Lepisosteus oculatus: one gene and its partner. The protein of the gene in region 2 purifies or fractionates together with the protein of the main gene of each other region. This does not show direct contact. Links are inferred from orthologs where the notes say so. Each region holds a gene or a part of one and is shown on either strand. Other genes may lie near its edges.

Region 1 (10,669 bases), on a different chromosome or scaffold from region 2:
TTAGGTTTGTCTACTTCTGAACAGAGCCTCAAGGGTTTCCATTGTAAATGTACTTAAACCCATGGCCACAGGTCTGTGCCAGCAGATAGCCAATATAATAATGACACCTGCAAAACGGAAGTAGAAGGTAATCAAGTACAGCAGGTGTTTGGAAAAACACCAACCCACAGCCAGGATCAGCCTCCAGTGCTAATCCTGAGCCAAGATCTAAGATAACCATGTGGCCTGTCTAAGGCTTCAGCCTGAAGTAGCTTTGATGTGTACAAAACCAAGACTGTAATTTTACGGTACCACACACCACAAAGGCCTCCAGACATCAAAGTTAAACAGCTTGGGCCTTACACAAGATGTTCTTGACTGAGCACGCCCCCAGGTGGGAAAAGAAAGAGGCATTTCTGTTTTGGACGATAAGAAGCCTACCTACTGTAAGACTAGAAATCTGAACCTACATAACCGTAGAGATTGTTATTTAAGATCAGTGATCATAAAATCACTACGGTTCAGTTTTCAATGAGACTCATTTAGTGCTCCACCAAACCATATCAGAATCAAGTCATAAAATTCAAATTACTAGTTAAACAGTCACCGCAAGAGGTAATACAAACAGGAGGAGCTTTTGAGGAGCTTTTCAGAAGAGCAGAATGCATTTGTATGGAACAGGGAGTCGCTCGGATTTGAATCAAGGTTGAGTTTACAAGGGGTTAAAGGAGCCAAACATCCAGTGTGCAAACTTGGTTTCATTTGAATTCTTTAGTTCAACACAATGTTAGAAATTAATCTAGTTCAATAGTTTGAGTTCTCTTTTAACAGTTTCACACCAATTCAATATTCTTTTGTCTTCACATGTTTTAGGACAACTTTTTTTTAATTGCTTACTGTAATTTAAATCCCAGACTATCTCACTGATAAAACTGCACAAAGAAAAGACAGCCACAAACATGTCTGTTTTCATCTAGTTTTGATCCATATTCATTTTCAAATATTTATCTGCAGACCTAAAGGCACTACAAGCATTGTGCAAAACATTGTACAAAAAAAGGTTTGGAACAACTATCCTAAATACCAGTTAATTTAAAATTTAAAAAATAATTTTATAATATATTAAATAATATTCATAAATAAAATATAAGTGAATAGGTCAAGGGCTTTCTTGTCTTACTGCCACTTTTTTTTACTTTGGGAAATTAATAGAATGAATTTGAGTTGAGTTAAGGCAATTAGTATTAAGGCAATCCTTAGTATTAAATTTAAGGTGACTGACTCCATTAACAACATTTACAATGTTCCCCCTTAATTTCCAAGCTTTAAGGCAACAAAATACCAAAAAATTTGCCTTCACTTCTGATTGTGTAAGTTTAAACTCCATCGGACTCATTTTAAAGGCGCCAGCTCGTGCAGGGATCTGCATTTAGGTACACTGCTGTGTTCTTGGGGGCACAGTGAAGGGACACTCACCAGCACCTTGGCCTTCTCTGCCTCCTGGCGTGTGTGGGCTCGTTCCCGAAGGACAGCCAGACTCAGCTCGTCTCGCACCGACTCCCTCTCCTTCCGGGCAATCCGAGCTAGCTCCTCCTGGACCATCGCCTTCTCCCTCTCGTACCTGCAAGAGAGCGTCAAGCAGGTATGGCATCACACCTGTAACCAGAACAGTCTCCAGCACCACAAGAACACCGAACACCCTAATCCGGGCAAAAATGCAAAGCACTTTCTGGACACACAAAGCATAAAAAAAAGTATGAGGGCATAAATTGACCAAAACATTAACAACATTAACCAAGATATTTTTTTTAAATAATGTACATTTTCATCATTACTAAAGTAAAATAGTAAAACTACTATTACAACTAATAGCATTTTCAAAAAATAAAAAAATTACAACCCGCAACACAGAGTTAAGACATAACTTAATCAATACCATCATCATCATCATCATTCCAAGCAGAGGTATTTCTTTACAGTCAGCAGTTTTTTTTATATTGATCCACTTTTTTTCACAAAATGGACAGTGTATGATCTTATTTATGGTAATATTTCCTAAAGTACTTCAAAGCATTGTGCAGCACAAAAAAATTAACACACAACACCACACCACACCACACTAAAGGCTAATGCAGAGCAATGTTTCAGCTAGATTAAAAAGTACTGATGCAATCATTATACTGTTTTGTAGCCACAGGAGGTCATTCTGCAGACCAAGATCCTATCTTTCTTCATAAAAGACTAAGCTTGCAAAGATTCTCTCTTCAGCAGTTTTCTGACAGAATGATTTTGCTGCAGTTAAATCTGCAGCTAAGAACCTTCAGACATTTTTCCACGTTACGCATTTGAAAAGGACAGTGAAGATTCAAAGCCAAATGATGCTCTTTGAAAATATTTGGAATAGTAATACTGTGGACTTGGCAGTAGTAATATTAACTGGACTGTATCTGCCCACTGAAGCTGACTACAGTATTCTTCAAGTATTTCTTGATGACTTATATTAAACAGGGGCTTCAAAGGCTTGTTATGCATGGTCCCTTTTCCATCAGGACAGCCCACAATGTTCAATGTCTGATAATGACATATTTGTGGGGTTTAACTTCTTAAAAAAATGGTTGAGTACCTTTACAGTGTCAGCAACCAAATTAATAAACAGATTTTTCACTTTTAACATTTAAAACCACAATATTATACCTACTAGCTGAAGAAAAGAAGCTACTTAGTAAACAGTTTAAAAACAGAGAACTGTATGAACAGAGAGAAAACTGACAGATAAACTAATATAAACTAAAATAAACTAAACTAATATGACTAAAATAATATAAAGGTTTAGTCTCAGATCTGAATAACAATGTTTCCAGATTTGTTTCTCTATCATATTAGAATAATATTGTCCCAGAATTCTTCTAAGATACTTTGTTTTCCTTCCAACCCACGTTTAAGGATGTAATACTTCACTTCACCACGGGGTGTCAGACGAACTCCACCTTTTTAAAATACAGTACGGTCAATGTTAGATCGGAATAGCTTATAAAAAACCCGCACGGCCCTAATAATAAAAATAATAATAATGATAATAAACTTTATTTTATATAGCACCTTTAAAGGTAGCTTCTCAAAGCGCTTAAAACCAATTAAAACCAATGAAAACACCCACCTTCTGTATAATTCCTCTTCTTTCACTGTGACTGTGTGTCCCGAATGCATCTTTGAACCTACAAACAACAAAAGAAAACATCTTCATTATTTTCTTTCACATTTTCAGATTAATGTGATGTTGTTAAAATGTTTGACCACCAACACATTTTGTTTCACTGTTTGTTAAGTGCTTTCACATTAATTAAATGTATTCGCATTTAATGTAATCTTAACATCTTTCTCCAAAGAAAACTCAATCAACAGGTAAGCATCTGCCCCTCATTCACTAATCTTCAGTTAAGCAAAAGTATCAGTTCACCCGAATCACTCTCATCAGTATGATGGAATTAGAAATAAGCAAAATTGTTGAAAAGCTATTTTATTTTTTTTTATTGAAATTCTTCTTTTCAAACTTTTTGTACCATCTCTATTATTACACCTATTGATGAAACAGTAACTTGTAAATATAGTTCACACAAACAAGACAAGACCTGAGGAGTCTTTACTGCTTTCTGTCTGAGAGGACGACCACTCGTCTGAAGCAGAGGGTTTGGATTCGGCTGATTTTTCTTTCATTTTCCTGATGACATCCTCCGACAACTGCCCAGAGAAAACAAGTGTGTTATCATTTTGTCCAGGAAGCGAACCCATACATGTAGACAAACAGCACGTGTAAGTGACAGTAATGCACTTCTTTTCAGTGCTGACTTCACGATTTTAAAGGCTAACTGGACAATGTTCCACATAACAATGTTCCACATAACCCCCCACAGTTTTCACACAGTTTCTTCCCACAAACTGTCAGAACTCTACCCCTACCACTGGCTTTGTATGTTATTTAACTTGTTGTTGTTGCTGCTGTTCTGTGTTTATGTTTTTGGTGATTCTTTTAATGTCTTTCTTATGGAGCACACATGCAAATATGCATGCACTTGTGCATATGACAATAAACTGAACTGAACAAACAATCAAGTCTCAAGGCTGTGTTAAGTAAATTAACTGCTGTCAGAAAAATGTACAACATTCAAAAATCATGCCACCTCAGGACCTTATTGCAACACGTTTTTGAAGAGAAGCAACTTTGGGCCCAGACATTCCTTGAACAGAAAGCAGCTACACCAGATCAGGTCGCTGCTGGAAGTGGTGCTTAAGGACCAGCAGGTGAGATTCGCAACTCTGCACCACTAATTCCAAACCTATGCCTGCGTCTGGAGATTCGAGACACTGAGCTTAAAGAGGTACATATTTTTCGATGACACAAAAAACAAGGACCTCAACACCCTGCAATCATAAACGATGCAATCGCTGTATTGTGAATAGTAACCACTGCTTACACAAGTTGAAGAGCACTTGATGAAAGCATAGCATTACAGGCATTTCAAGACAGTGAAATACGAGATTAAAAGGCAAACATGCTCCAAAACTGGAACACAAATTACCACGTTTATTTGGTGAGTAATTTAGAAAGTTAATGTTATATTTCAAATAAAAATGAATTGGGCCTGTATGAGAAAACAGCTATTGTTTTTGTTTTGGCGTGTTGATCTACAGGATGACCGTTTGTTTTTGCTTTAACAGTAACATTGGCATTGTCAGTTTCGGCAATTTGGCAGCATTTGAGGCAGTCAGCATCCGATTTGCCTGTTACAAAGCAAGACAGCTTGCAAACCTGCAAGCATTTATCAGAGGTCAACTTTGGTTTGGTGCCGAGAACTGTATAAAGCCATGACTTATGGGATGCTTCCCTAGCCCACATAAATTGCTCCATCCGATGTTAGAAGACAGGATTGCATCTCCAGGCGTTTGTACCCAGTATAAGGTTGTCGAGCTAGACTTAAGAGGTGACTAAAAACCAGATAAAGCTCAGTTTCCATTTTTGCATTTGCTATAAACGTAATACGTTCTCCTTAGCGTGCAGGACCTTTCCAATAAGTTTGCTTTTTGGCAATTGTTCCTTCCTTACCTTGATTCCGTGCAAAACCCTCACCCTGTCTTCCTCGTCCAAACCAAAAGACACCTTTCTAGTTACACTCTCACTCCCTCCCATTGTAAAATGCTGTCCTTCAGTACGACCTTCGGTTATTTTGCTTGGATTATTAAAACACTGATATTCCTCTGCAACCACTTGAAAATCTATGGACCTTTCAGCCTTCGCTCCACATGAAAAGTCATTTTTTTAACATGCCAGTATTGTGAAATGCAATTGGTAGACGTACATGGGAAGCCCAATCACATTGCAGAATGCTACCGAAGGGAACCGGATTCAAGTGGGAACTGTAGTTCAGTAAAAGCAACAACTTTCAGGCGGGGCTTGTTAACGTGCATTATCCCTGTGAGCCTGTATTATCTCAGCCATACAGTGAACATTTTATGTAGCGTCGGCTTGAAAAACGGATACATCTTTCCATTCGTTATCTTTTAAACGGGAACGGGAGCAAGTACAATAACTATACACAAAATCGGCTCGGGAAAAAATGAAAAAGGAATGCCTTTGAGATATTTAGAACCGTTTCTAAATGATTTAATAGTGATTATTATGTACATAGAGATAAGTTATGCACCGTTTTTGTTCAGAAATACTTCCTCCCGTCAACAGCTGATTATGCTATTAGAGATGCAACCAATCTGGTTTCTAAACAGTATTTGTCATTTGTAATTATTGTTGGACATCACAGGCCTACATTTTAATAAACTAACAAGGTGTCATTGCAAGAATTAAATGACACTGGAAGTCTGGTGGTTTTAATTACATTTAATAAAGGATAGACATAATTGTTTTACATATAATTAATGAATAATAATTGCTTACACTTACATAGCGCTTTTCTGGACACTCCACTCAAAGCGCTTTACAGGTAATGGGGACTCCCCTCCACCACCACCAATGTGCAGCATCCACCTGGATGATGCGACGGCAGCCATAGTGCGCCAGAACACTCACCACACATCAGCAATCAGTGGGGAGGAGAGCAGAGTAATGAAGCCAATTTATAGAGGGGGATTGTCAGGAGGCCATGATTGATAAAGGCTGATGGGAAATGTTGCCAGGACGCCGGGGTTACACCCCTACTCTTTTCGAGAAACACCCTGGGATTTTTAATGACCACGGTTTTACGTCTCATCCGAAAGACGGCGCCTGTTTTACAGTATATATATAAGTCCCAGTCACTACACTGGGGCATTAGGACCCACATGAGCTGCAGGGTGAGCGCCCCCTGCTGGCCCCACTAACACCTCCTCCAGCAGCAACCTTAGTTTTTCCCAGGAGGTCTCCTATCCAGGTACTGACCAGGCTCACACCTGCTTAGCTTCAGTGGGTTGCCAGTTGTGAGTTGCAGGGTGATATGGCTGCTGGCTACTATATAGTACCATTATAATTATATACAAAAACAAAGAGTTTCAGAGTTGGCACTAAATCGTTTTTGACAATTATGCTGGTCTGACTAATTGAACCATCAAAACTTAAAACTAGTAAACTAATAATCTGTCTGCACATTAATTCACATCTCATGTTTACTTGATTTTGACAGCCTTAATTACACTCCATTTCAACGTTTTAGTATGTCTAGGTTACAGAGCGTCCCAATCCGAGAGGGAATTTGAAAATTGGGAACTAGAAACCCTTATTACTCCCTAAATACCAATGTTTCCAGCTCTTTATTGTGTATTGGCAGCTACCTCCACATACAGCAGTCCTAATTTTTAAGGGTTAGCTATTTATTGACTGTTTGTGTCCCCTCAACTAAAGCATTTGTAAAGCTTAAACACAGACTGTAGAATTACAGAGGCATTAAAATGCTATGCCATAAAAAAACAGTCCTGCCCCCTTTGTATTACCTATAATTTATCTGCATTTGAGATCATCAGTGAACATCACATCATATCATTGTTGAACTCCAGATACACCTACACTTCCTTTGAACGTGAGGGAGTTCTTTAATTTCCCAATACACTTTGAACACTGGAAAATCTTGCTTTCTATTCTATTTGTCTGGGAATTTGCAATGATTATCTAAACCAAATTGGATTTTCCAAGTACCTCAACATTTTTAATCCGGACTTAAAACTCATTTTTGCACTTCAACTTTCTCGTTTAATTTACCGTTTTAATTTATGTATACCTTCCTCTTTTATGAAATAAAGCTATTACTCCTATATTTACTTTGTCACATTCATACCATGAACAGCTTCCAACCTCAAACTTCCATGGAATTGGATGAAACGATAAGTAAAGACTAAGGCGGATCTAAGAAAAAGTATATACCTGCATTTTTCTTCCAAATTCCAGTAGGCCTACAGAATTATTTAATCTTGGGAGTTTGGATCATAGATTTCAAACCCACTTGAGAGTACTGTTCAAGTAACTGTATATTATACTGTAAATGGATATAAAAGTGCTTATACATGTAAGCACATTACACTGTTTATTCCTTAACCAGCTGAAACAAATACAAAACGTTAGCTTTCAGCTTTTAAGGCATATGTAAGATTTGTTTTTCCCTCTTACCATGAGTTTTCTACTTCTACTTTGGCAAAACAAAATCTAACTAAACATTGACAAAAGAAATAGAAAGCAGGCAGACAGGAAGCGTTTTTAATAATCACTTTCTAGGAATGTTTAACATACCACAATAATACTCTATAGAAATACATACAATTAAATAAAACCATTTTCTTAATAAAAAATGTTTAATTTTTACATGCTTTCATGTTGGTCTTGCAATGATGAATCAAGTGTTGTGTTGATCCCTGCCCTAATACAAATTCCAAGCCTCCACAATTCCACCAGTCAAATACCTCCAACAGAACCCAGGGTCATCTTGAATTCATCTATCTTGATGCCAGTCTTCAGCTCCAGACCAAATTCCATGGGAGAAAAATATTTTTCAATTAGAGGCAACTTCCTCTGAAAACATTTCCCTGTGCAACTTTTATTATGCTGCATCAAAATCCCAACACAGATTTGCCATATTAAAGGGCCAGTTCAAAATTTGGTCACAATATTCAAAACAAAGTGTATCATTTAACATTTAAGAAACAGAAAAATCTCATAGTGGGAAAGTTTCTGTGGTCTATATTTAAATATTTCAATCACTCTTTTTTTAATAAAATACGCAGTCCAAAGAAGCTTAGCCCAAAGTGCAAAAGTTAGAGTACTCTTTCCAGTTAAATTTCACACAGGTCAAAAACCTTTTTCACTGCCAAACATGGATTTAATTCTTGCTAAGAAACATTGTATAATACTTGTGCTGTAATTGTGACATCTGCACCTCTGTTAAACCCTATGAAAGCACAAAAATATTCTGATTTGGCAATTCAGATTTACACAATACAGTATTCAAAAATAATTAAAATTACAAATGTTTCCAATTCACGGCTCACAAAAAAAATGTTCATCTTCACTGTACAAGCAGATGTAACAATCCACATCATCCTATCTATTCCCTGAAACGCAAAAGTCCAGCATTTCCAGATGCAAAATCCAGCCCAGATTATTGCCTTACAAGTTAAGGAAACTAGTTAACTACTGAAGAAGTCTTGATAACAATATAATCCATTTCAGGGGAATCATTAAAGCAAAAAATATTTATTCAAGAGGTGTCAGTGCTGAGAAATAGTACTTAATATCAAGACACTGTATCCTTCTATTTCTGATATACTGGATCTGAGTGTTCCATATAGTTTTCTGAGAACTTATTTGTCTAATACTAGTACAGCAACACATTTCTAGTGCTACTGATAAGGTTACAGCTCCAGATTTTGTAAAGGCCAAAACACAAACAGGGAACTACCACGGTTAAAAATCACAGCTTGTATGCAATCCCGATTTATAAAAATTGTTAAACAAAAGAGGAGGTTACATAGAGTGATATTGGGGAAAATGTTCCAAGTTTGTACAAGTAAAGCAGGAGACTGCATTCATGCATTCACCATGCAATCAATAAAGGAACCAGTAAAGATTTCTTTCTACTTTTCAGCTCCACACTGAATATTAGAAAAAAAACAGTTAAACACATATTTTAGCTATGGATCCTTCTTCAGCCTCCTCATTCCTGAGGTAGGATTCACAGCTGAAACAATGAGTTCCATCCTGCTTCTCAGAGTGCAATTAACATCTGCTTGGTTCTCAATTACAGTTATGGAAATTTTAAGTATTTTTTAATCAGATGTTCAGTACGTTCTCATTAAAACAATGTCTTACTGGGCGGGTCCATCAAACATTAATTACAAACTATGCGCACATAGGAATAAATAAGACTCTTTCTCATACACCTTATTTATATTTTAATGCTCTTCTATAGAATTTCTTTTAGTGCACTAAAGTGGTTAAATTCCAGCACACTGGTCCTACCATGGAAACACAACTTTTCTAAATTCCCTTAATATCAGGGAAAAAGTAACAAAGCAGCTGTTGATTACAGGATAAAAAGGGAAAAAATAATTTATGACAGAAATAAGCTAGTTGACACTGGTTGGTATTTATCCATTTAACTGATAAATTACTGTTTTGGCTGAACATTTGCAACTGCTCCATAAATCATGTTGACTAGAATTTCTACAAACCGAACCCCTCTGGTGAATTTGCTACAGCCAAAGCTATAGCAGTGTTATTACATTGAAGCACCAAAAACAAAACTCTTAAGTGACGATTTAAGTTAAATTAACCCCTCTAAGAAACTCCAGTAAAGTCTCTTATTTCCCATATAATCAAAGCAGCATGTATGTCAGTGTTTCACGCCATCAATAAAGCATTAGTTAAAAGCTTTTTTTAAAAAAAATAAAAGAATCACTTGTAATACAATGTAAATGCTGAGTCTGAGAGAAAATGAGGATGACTTGGCAAAAACCGTGAGGCAAAATGATTTGAGAATTATGTCTGCCAGCTCATTTCCCTTTCTCATGTGGGACAGCAGGGAGCCGAGATTACCTGTTGCAAATTTCAGATTGGAATGTATATACTGTACATTTACTGCTTTGCTCAAAAGCAACATCCATGTTGCTAAGTATCCCCATGAATGGATTTATAAAATCCTGCACATGGTCTTTTACATTTCATGATCAGAACTGTTCCTGGAGAGGTGCAGAATCCTACCCCTCCTCTGGATTGGATTCTAGGCATTGATGGCCCTCCAGCGGTCACTATCAATACTGTTAATGCTACCCACAGGATAAGGGCCTGAGGCGACATCATCCAAGTAGGACCCCGAGGTATCTATCTGTGTGCTGGAGTAGAATCCAGGTTCATGACCATCTTTCTTGCCCACACCATAGGTCGGGGGAAGGTGAACATCTGTGTCATCAGGCTCATCGATCTGGGATTTGTAGGAAAACAGGATCTTTGGCTCTGATCTGGAGAAGGAAATGAGAGATAAATACTTATTCTTGCCAGAGTAAGATTCAAAGCTGTGACTTTATCAAATGTTTTGCTTGTGCAATAGGTTTTAATGATGTCTATTCTATGCAATAGAACAGATAATGATTATGAACATTAAAACAAATACACTTTTACTGTAGGTAGGGAACGAATCTACTGTTCGACCCTACATTTTCA
Region 2 (11,032 bases):
AAGTTCTCTTTTCTTCAGCTTCTACAGAGTTTGCTAATCTTCTTATTGTCATGCCCTCTGCAGCCAGAGGGCGCTCCTTCTCTGTCATGTCCCTATTTCCGGTCTGCTGTCCTTCCTGTCCCTCTCTTTCCCTTGGGCTATATATTTCCGGGTCTTGCACTCTGTCCGGGCTCAGCATTGACGTTCGGATGTCCTGAGACCCGCCTAGCACCAGGGCGCCCCACGTCCGCTCCCTGAGGGTATAGGTTTCTATACGGCATTCCTGAACTCTTTGCACTAATGAGCCCGGGCCTTTTTCCCGTCTCGCCGCTACGCATATGGGTCTTTTTCTGCTCTCCTGCTCCCCACGGTTAGTCCCTTTGGACGTCCGTGACACTTATTGTTGTGTCAATTGTGAATTTGAGTATTTTATTAACTGAACCGTAACCTAGATTACTAATATAAATTAGGAAGAGGAGTGGCCCAAACACACAATTACTTACACTTAGTTTAAGCATTTATTTCTAATATGTAGTTTGTTTTTCATCCATTATCCGGTTCTCAATCCAAATTTCCTTACTCTAGTTTTCTGCTACTGACATCCCAAAGTATGAGAGAAAAATGAAAATCAACCCACAATAACCCCCTCTTCCTGCGTACAGTACATCCAACATTTTATTATATACAAATATGAAATACACCTTACACTATGCCCTTTGAATATTTTATAAGTCCAATTCATATAGATTTTGAGAACTTTGATTAAATTGGATTAGCTGTATGTGTCTGAATCCTATATGTTCAAGTAGTGGACAAAAAAATGAAAACACATGGTTAAACGAGGGACACCAGGTGTGCTGAAAACAAGGGCTTCCACACAGGTGTGGCTTATGTGTTAATTCAGCAACATCCTAGTACACTGAGGGTCATGTATAAAAATGCTGGACAGGCCTGGTTGGCTATATTTACGGCTGTCATCGTTGAAAGAGGAGACACTGGTGACTTTAAAAGAGAGGTGACTTTTGGAGTGGGTTTAGCTTTAGTGACCAAGATAGCTCAGTTTGCTGATGTTTCAAGACCAACAGTGTGGCAGGATTGTGATATCTGCGCGTTATCACAAATGCAATGCAAATCAGGCCAGCAACTGACTGCAAATTACAACCTGGTGCACGAGGAGCCGGTTTCACCAAAAACTGTCCATTGAGAACTCCAAGGAGCAGGATACCATAGTCAGGTTGCAGCACAAAGAAAACGCTTATCACAGCTGACAATGCACATTTGCGAGTCCAGTGGTGCAGAGAGCAAAGGCAGATGAATCCACCTTCACCATCTTCTCAACAGACAGGCAAGTGCTTTTCAAATTTGTCTCTTGGGTTCTCCTTCTCACTCTACTCACTGTGTATCTCCTTTGCAGAGTTCCTATGGTTCCTCTCACCTTCTATTCTAGTAAAAACGTTCGTCGAATCCCTCTATAGAGTCTTGCCCCAGGCCCTCATGGCCCCATCTCATTCAGATGGAATCCACATTGTCTGCACAGATGGGCTGTGCTACATCAAGGATTCTGATAGCTGAAAATGCTGAAGTCTTCTTCAACACACCATGTCCTCTAGCGTTTCTTTTTGTTCACTTTCATACGGTCAGGCAGTGTCTTTGAGAAAAGCACTAATTTAGTCCTAGCCTTCAGTTTGTTTCCCAAGTCTCCCAAGAATTTCTTTCTTAAGGAAAGAGGGCTGCTTATGTCGCTTTTTATTACATCAACATTAACTGGGTTTATTCCTGGGAGCCTGAACACCTTGGATGATGTCAGCCACCACGGCCACAGTACATGCAGACAACACTGTTGTTGACTTGGTATCCTTGATGCATACCTCACTATCTGCATTTGGGAAAGTAAAGTCTTTTTCTGTTTAGTCCTGGCAGTAATTAAAGGGGAACTGCAGTCCCAATTTTTTCAGACCGGTCATTAAATCTCAGTAACAAAATAAATTCACCAACGGTATAGAAGAAATTGACGAATTTCGAACTAAGCACAAAACGGGGACCTTTGTGGTGAAAGTACCGTAGCTCACCATGTTGTCGCAATTCCTGGTCCCGCCTTGGGCAAGAGCACGGGTTTGTGCGTGCTGTGATGTGAAACAGCCCTTCCTGCTCACTAGTCACTGCCAAGACTACTGGAATGTGATGTGGGTGCAAATAAGTAAAGGTTGTGCAACAGACATTTCACCACAGAAATGCTCCAATGTGATCTGCATGCAGAGTTAACAAGTAAGTAGTATTTGTCGGCAGAAGTCAAGAGCAATATTTCTATTAGGTTAAAAGAGTTGGATTCACAAACCTGCTTCTTTACAATGTCATAGGGCCACTTCACATTACCAGTTGCCTCACTCTGAATCGCAGACTATGGTGCTGTGCATACCTGGAACCTTCATCTGTTTTGTGATGTAAATTAGAGCTACTGTGTACATCTTACTTTTTTTGTGCTTTGAAATGCACGCATCAATGCTGATTCCTTCTAACCCTGAAACAGAAAACTAGCATTGCAGTTCTGCTTTAAAGTTGATATGGCTGGAGTTTGGACTTCAGTGCCTGTAACGGTGGTATTCTGGATGCTGTTGACTTGAAATTCCAAGTCTGGACTGTCTGCTTCCAGGTCATGGAATAAAGCAAACATATTTGGAGATATGTCACGCGGGATGTCATGATAGGCTGCTGATTTTTTTTTTTTACATCCTGGGAACAGCTCTTCTCTGCCAGCTTCCCTGCAATGTTTTTTTTTTTAACTTTATTCCTTCATAAATGTGACTTTCGAGAGTTCCTTGATCTCATGGTACGCTTTAATTGCAGTAGAGTTTCAGTTTCTTTTTATTTTTACAAAAAGGAACTGGCTTTTGTGGCAGTTTTCACAGAGGTACTGTAGTCTGGCTTCCAGGATACAACTCAAAGGTTTAAGCACCATTCGAAGGTGGATATTTTGTAGGATTTTTCTGTTTAAAAATGTATGGTAAAATGGTGGTGGGGGTATGGGTACTACACAGAACGTTACATCACACTTGCACACCATTCCTATATGTCTGAAATTTGTTTTTTTTAAAGAAATGCCTGACAATATTTCACAGTCTATGAATGTATCTGCTAAAACAGAAAGCAGAAACTATAAAATAATTTCCTAAACCATTAAATACATTATAATATGTCAACATGCTACTGATTTCATCATCTTTGGAACAGCCTTGATAATTAAATCTCTGAGCGCATACAAAATAGAGACAGTAAATGGGTATTTTAAAGACAAGAGTTTTTATACTCAAGTTTAAAGGACACTTTTTTTCCCACAAACATCCTCTCTTCCATAATTAACCAAAGATTTAATCCAATAGTGTTATAACCTTCAAGTCACTTTTTGTATGCGGCTACACCAAAAACAAACCGTATTAAACTCTATTCCCCATCTCTTTTGTAGAATTCCTACTGTTTAGTGTTACACACCTAGTGATACTATGTAATATGAATGACACACTAATTGATAATACCTCAGTCTCCATTAAATTTAACATTTGTTTTAAACAATAACAACCATCCTGTTATACTTTTAAACATGACACATGTTCATCACACCCCAGTTAACTTAATTCTAAGCCAAAGTAATAAAAAATCACCCCCTTATTGTTAGGAACAAACTATTTTGTTCTGCGACCTTATATATGAGGGCTAGGTGTTTGACGCTGAAATACGATATTAAACTACTCTATAACCTTTCGACGTGAATGTTATTGCACATTTTATAATGATATATCATGATAATTGCATTTTGTTTAATATAGACTATACTAAAAGATAATCAAGTTCTATATACTCAATGGGATTGCTCGACAGTCAGGCAACAATTAAATCGTTGAGATACTACATTCTTAGGTCATACATGAGCAGGAATTTATTTTGTGGGAAAATCGTTCTCATATTTAAAACATATGTAATTGGTACGTAAAAGTATATGAGCAACACATAGTTATCACTTACGGTAATATAAGCGTTATTACCTGCTATTTGGGATACAAACGCCTCTGCAGCAAGAGACATGATGACAGATGAACTCGAAAATTTTAATTTACACTTTTTGATTAAAAATACAATGTCTCAGACAAGGAAAAACTGTACTGCACTATTCACCGCAGCGGACAACGATAAGGGCACAGCAGCCTTCAGGATGTGAACCCTGTGAAAGACGAGCATAAACACGCATTCGATCAACTGCTTCCTGGTGCACTGCAATCATTCTTCTTCCGGATTATTGTGTACAGAGATTACTGGATATTTGTTCTTGAGGAGCTTTCTTTATTATCCTCGACAGCGTTAATACTTGTTTTTATCAATCCTTGGAAATACAGTTCCGAGACTGTATATCTTGACTGTCTTTTCAAATGTAAAAACACGAAAACTCGAATCCGCGAGTAGCGGCTGATACTGTCTATTGAGTTGCAAAAGCAGATGAAAAGACGTACGGCGCATTAGGGAGATTGATAAACTATTTTCTTTAGGTGTTTTTGATTGTCCACTTATAACAAATGTTTTGTGCTTGTCTCATTATATATTCGTGGGTTTATTGATTGTTTTATGTAATATTAGCATTTTTTCAATACCAGTAACGCATTAATCAACACAATAAACACGACTGATATCTAGTTTTCTTTTCTGAAATTAATTTTAACTGCAAGTATTTTTCCCTCAGCATAAATTATCTGGGTGACTGTATCACGGAGAGAGGTCCAGGAAGATATTTCTCATTCTTCAGTCAGTTTCCTGGCGTCCCTGAATGTATAATCCAGTATTGCTGTATTTAAATTAGATTATTTGTAAATGTGTGGATAAAGATTTAACCTTACGATGACGATAGTTAACCCAACCCCTTTAAATTTTTCAAGGATAGCTCTGACTTGAAAGCATGCATATTTGTCTCTCATCTGATTTATTTCTTCAGCTACCCTACTTCCAGATTAGATTTGTTTCCTTGAACAAATAACATTTAATATACCTAAAACTGAGATTGGGTGGTTGAATGCAAACTTTTATTGTCAACACCGTTTAAGGAAATCCCATTTTCAGTAATGTTTCCATGTTTTGAGCATAAAGCCTTCATTTGGTGAGCACAAACAAAGCCTGACCCGGAACACATTCTCTTACACAGTTTGTGAATCTGTATTTTATAATGAGATTCATATTGTATAGCAATCTTTTTCATTTCAGATGTCCTTTTTGCAGATATTTACTGATGAAACAGAAAATGTTTAGCCTTCTGTGTAATTTTAATTGAATTTAGCAGTCTGTGCATACTTTACAGTTTGATGCTGTATCTACTTGTTCTTGGCCTGTTGAAGGACCAGTAACTGGTATAATCTGTAGTGGACCAAAATAATATGCAAAGGAATCATTTGCTTCCCTGTGTGTAACAGGACTGCTCTTGATATTGCTTCTTACCATTGTTGATAGTAAATAGTCAATTTTCTGTAAGCATGGAAAACTGCGTATTATGTATCCAGTTAAATAGCTCTTGATTTTGGATCACAGTCTTTATCACCTGCTGTTTCTGCAAGGTATCCAATTTTGACCACTTTCTATAAGGCTAGTGCTCAGCTGAAGTTTGGTGCAGCATCAATTTTTTGCCACCTCAACAAAGAAATATATCAATCTGAGCCAAATTCTAAAAAGGAATTGTGTGTAGTTACAACAATAATTCATGTTGGCAATTTTGTAAAGATTTATTGCATGTGAATAAATGTGTACACTTTATGAGACATATATTTAACATTGCATATTATACTGCACTTTATTTATTTTACTTGTTTTGTTTATCTTTATTTCACTATGTTCAAGAGCACATTTAAAGCAATATGAGTAATAATGTATGTCATTAAAATATATAGTTAGAAAATACTACACTTCGATGCACAAATGTGCTGTCCCCAGTACTGGGATTTATTTTAAAATGTGTTTTCCTTCCATTAAAATATTTCTCTAATTCTAAAACAGACCTACAATAATCTTCAATATCATTTTCAGGAGCAGAGGATCTGAAGGGTACATATATCTGACAAGACACTGATTCCATTTAAACTTGACAGTCTCAAAGTATGTGACATTCAGTGGTGATTCAGACCATTTATATACTGACAGGCATTAAAATGAAACAAGTGAAGTTGGTTCCCATACCAATTTATGGTTTCAATGAGTTCTAGTAAACGTTAGCAACAGTGATGAATGCAAGTTCACTAAGGAGGTTCTCTACTGGTGGTTACGATACTAATACAAGAATACTTCAGTGTAACATTTAAAATGTTAGCAATCCAGAGTTTTCTTCAGTATTGAATACACTATTACTGCTTTTATAGTCAATTTGATTACTTTAAACAGTTAAAGCATTTCAGCTTGGATTTGATGTCATCCTTACATTGGAATAGCAATAAAACTGTTGTGGTAGAGTGTGTTTTGTGGTCTTCATAGCCTTAATGTATTAGATTTTAAGCCAGAATTTTATTGTTATGGGTGCTTAAAGAGAGGTGTGGTTGCTACAGAAATTTGTATTTTAAAGTGATTTAATGAAAAACGATTGGTAACTTTGAAGTTGTGCTTTGCTTCAAGAGTCGTAGGGAAATGGAACAAGCTATTCAGCCATGTTGTTGAAGGTCTGGCTTCTTTCAAGAAATGGTTGAGATCCATGAATTAATCAGCTAATGAAAACTAAACAGACTTCGTGGGCCAAATGACTCGTCTCAGTGCTATATGTTATTATATTACAAATCCCTTTTTAATCATTTTTAATCATTTACATTGTGTAACTGCTAACACCAGGTAGATCCTCATGACTTGGTCCTCATGAAAATATCGGTATGCTCTGGGAGAAATAATTCCCTCATCTGTGAGATTTTCAGGAATGTAAGCAGGTTCTCCATAGCCTTCATTCCCTGACCCCCTTTACTCATCCAGCTTCGTTCTTTTTCCTCCATGTGTACATGTTTCCTTTATTTTTAATATGAGGCAATCAATAAGAACAACTGAAACTTGTAGGTCAATGTATTCTTTTGGTCTACCTTACTCTGTGGACGATTGTGCTCATTTACTTAAAATGGTCGGGCTACAGCAGGTTACCTGACTTTTCTGAGGCTATATCCACTATGAACACAGAAGGAAAAACACAGTAGTAGGCTTGTGAAGACGTTTTCTGCATGAAGCTGTGTTTAAAGGCACAGCACCCGAATGTAAACTTTTTAATTACGGATGTATTGTTATGAAGAATCATATTTAGGCAAGCCTTTTAACTGTAACCAAGCAGACAATGAACCTGATATAAGGTTAAAAACTGATGTAACTTTTTGGTGGAAATACGTTACAATTCTGCTAATATATTATATAATATTTTAAGAATTATATAATGCTTCTTCTGTTCAAACAATAGAATTCCTTTAAAAAATTGTGAGAATGATTCTAACCCACTATAGTGACATTAAGAACTGAAGACCAATTATACATTACATTTTAAGTATAATAGTAATGTAAGTGTATTTAAGCTTGAAAGGACATTTTGGAAAAGGAGGTTTGCACTCTTGTAAGTCTGGACGCCCTACCTAAATTCAATGGCATTTTCAATGATTAAAAAGCGTATATAGTCTCTGCTGTATAGCACATGAAATTGTTACTACATGCTTAAAGTTTTCTATTACGACCTTTCGTTCTTTCAATTGTGTAATCAGTAATTATAATTAAGATAATTGTCATATTGAAGTGCTATTACACTCTTAATTTTTGATTGACGTGTTCTTTGTTTTCCTCTTTTTTTGTATATTTGTATAATTTCTTTAAAAATGATTTTACAAAAAAAAACTAAATTTGTCGAGTGTTCTTTAATAAAATAATGTAGAAATGCTTCTCCGGCACATAGATATTTTATAGTAAAAGAACTAATTAAGGAAATCAAACTCGCTTTAACCTGACTTAAAAAAGCAAAAAGATTTATCTCTTTAAATCGTTTTACCTAAGTCCCAATTCATCAAAAAGAATAGCGTATGGAAGCGTTTTGCAATAATAATTAACATTACATTTTAAAATCCTTATACCTATTTGTCTTTTCTTTTTCGAGAATTAAATTAGATTACAAAAATTAAATTAGCTATATATTTCCATTTCTCACTTAAAATGTATAACCTGTAAAAATAAAAATCGCTTCTGCGGCAGGGGAAATGATATAGCCTACCTGAAGAAAAGAATTTTAGTACTTTTAAAAGGCTGTACATGTAGGTCTAGCCTACTTTTCTACCAGTTTGCCTAGGAACAACATTTTGCTTCTGTCGTACATATACCTTTACCTTGTACTTAAGCCTACTTAATTTTATAGTTTGTATATATTACAATAATAATAAACAAAAATCTGGTAATTATATTTTTTTTCTCTTCATTCATATATCTGATCCGTCCCAAGATTTGCAAGTCTTATTTCTTTCACAAAGCATTCAAAGGATCGCTATACTCCTAGAAGACGTAAATCTTTGAAAAGAACTTCACGTCGTTCTAGAACAGAAAAAGAAAGTCGATAGATGAGCACACTATATCTTTTCGGATCAATTAAATTAGTATTCTGTTTTTCACTTTTAGGAAATAAAATTTGATTCATAAGTAAAGATCTTCAAACTGCCTGCCTTAATTAGTAATCGGTGTGTAAACTTGCACGTCTACTAACCTTTTGGTTAGTTAGGCTGTGAACTTTTGATGACCCGGTACCCCCCGGAGAAAAGAAGGGCACTGTATCTCAAACATTTACAAGATGCCCGTGGTTCTTCCGCTCCTCTGAAGTAAAACCTGGATATCAAACAAGTGCAACAACGCAACTGTGGGTTTCACAATGCCTTCAGATCTCCGAACAGTTTTACCTATTGTTTGTATGGTAATCTTAAACATATCTCTGATCATCAAAGGCTTAAAGACGTACTACAGACAAGGATCAGAGACTGACAATGTAAAAGGAGGAAAACAGTGGGGGTGATATCAAGGGCCCACACAATAGGCTTTTCTAAGGAGAAATACCTTTACCTTTACAAGCATATGGATTAGGCTGTGTAGGTGAATGCGCGCCATATATAATATTTCAGCACGAACTAAGATCCATTATCTGCAGATAGAAACCCATACGTAATACATATTAAACGTTACACCCTTGTAATAATGTTTGCTAATAATTCTGGTATCAGAGAACCATGGGGAGAATCCCGAAGAGAGCCTTTGAGACCACTGGGCCTTTGAAATACCGCCCTCAGCATGGAGTTTCTGTTTTGTTTTAGTACAATTCATTAACACAAAAAGTGCCGAAGAATGCTGACCAGTGAGCTTTTCAGAGGGACGCAGTGAAATGTCCTGTTTGACACAATGCCATAGGAGCCGGTCTCCACACTTTATCATACAAAAGTAACACACTCCCTAAATTTAAATGTCTCATTCATAACAACTACATATTTAGCAATAATAAAGATCAATTAGCTTCAGTAAGAGAAAAATCCCAAACTATGTTGAATAATTTTTAATCGAGTCACTACGACATAATCGTTGAGAACCGACTGTAAACACAGACCAGCTAACATACTTTTATACGACCTGTACAAAATGACTTGAAAGGTCCAAGACAACAAATAACATATTTTATTAGCTCATGGCCAAAGGAGCTCGAAATATGCGAGTCTAGCACTACATTTCTAGATAAATAAAGGTAGCGTGACCTCTGCCGAAATCCAGCTCTGTAATTTGCGACAGAAGAATCAAATTACAATCAACATTTTTTGTGCTAGTATTTAAATACCAGTTTGCAAAGCAACAACTGTGGATATGTGGTGTCGTTATTCTCATATTATTCCCGTATCTCTTTAAAATAGAACAGAAATTTAAACAGAATTTTCATCATATGTTCAACACTTTTAGTACAACCTGCATTAAAACATTTTTTTTCTTCCTTTTCCATCAGGATTCACGCAAGCTACTTATCACCACTGATTAAAACAACAACAACAAAGTTGTTAAAATAAACACCCGTTTATTTTAAAAAGCGTGGTTTACATATTCAAGTAAAATTACATGTAATTACCTATTAAATAAAACTTATGGTTTTAAAGCTGATGTTAAACTCTTTGAACTAGTCGTGTATCACAACGGAATACACATTTTTGTTTGTTTTTTAAGTCAGTGTCCCAAGTATTAAAAAAAGAATCGACATTGAACCTACAACAATAGACCACTTGTAGCAGCAAGTTAACCTTTGAACCTGAGGCTTCTATAGTGCAAACTTCATATCATATGAAGGTGTTCCTGAGGATAACCTGATTTGGTCCAACAAATGTAATCGTTTTTAAAACAGAATTCTTAAATCTTTGGTTCGTTATAGAGTGTTAAACACTTCTCACCGTGAAAATGGAAGTCGTTTTAATATGTGAAATTAAGTTCCTGTAAATTGCAACACCTCCCACTCTTAAATACCAGGAATGATGCACACTTATTAAAGCCACGTAGTAGAATCTGGTAAGGCAATATCTGGTTTAGGCATAATACATTCTTAAATCCAACACAGTCAACACGTTGTCTTTGACAACTTAAAATTTAAAATACAAAACAGACCATATTTACAAACACAGATATAAATTAACATTTAAAAAAAGATCAGTGCAAGGGATAATTACTGTATTTACTGTGTACATCATTTGTGCTTTTAATACGATGAAGCGACAAATAAAGGAAACCAACGACCTGAAAGACAAGTTGTAAACGATTACAATTACATTAGAATGAGGAGCGGGCCATGTTTGGCAGGACGTTGCGAAATCCTTATTTCTAGAAATAAGTCAAAGCCGTAACCATAAGGTGAGCTATTCTGTTAATAAAAAAAACAAGCAATCATAATGGAGTATGCTGTCAGTGAAAACCTTGGATGTTACCAGCGTGGACGGCAATGTTGGGACCCGGATAAATCACAGAGAGCGGCTTGTGCCCCTCCTGGGAAATGCACAGTTAACACACAGATGTTTGG

Evidence for each region.
Region 1: the proteins of mtx2 (region 2) and chchd6a purify together in Homo sapiens (co-immunoprecipitation; 3 studies listed by BioGRID and IntAct, counting the BioPlex papers as one, with this or other methods). This does not show direct contact. The link is inferred for Lepisosteus oculatus from reciprocal best matches to the Homo sapiens genes MTX2 and CHCHD6.

Annotation. Positions count from the first base shown.
Region 1 is NC_090699.1:61,086,277-61,096,945, forward strand, and holds the start of chchd6a (MICOS complex subunit mic25a), read right to left. Parts: upstream 5,309-10,669; 5' UTR 5,165-5,308; coding exon 5,081-5,164; intron 3,718-5,080; coding exon 3,609-3,717; intron 3,195-3,608; coding exon 3,137-3,194; intron 1,601-3,136; coding exon 1,456-1,600; intron 1-1,455. Other genes in the region: tpra1 (transmembrane protein adipocyte-associated 1 homolog), read right to left, coding at 10,230-10,467. UniProt on the Homo sapiens protein: Component of the MICOS complex, a large protein complex of the mitochondrial inner membrane that plays crucial roles in the maintenance of crista junctions, inner membrane architecture, and formation of contact sites to the outer membrane.
Region 2 is NC_090707.1:17,459,909-17,470,940, reverse strand, and holds the start of mtx2 (metaxin-2), read right to left. Parts: upstream 4,212-11,032; 5' UTR 4,057-4,211; coding exon 4,017-4,056; intron 1-4,016. Other genes in the region: homeobox protein Hox-D1, read right to left, coding at 11,014-11,032. UniProt on the Homo sapiens protein: Involved in transport of proteins into the mitochondrion.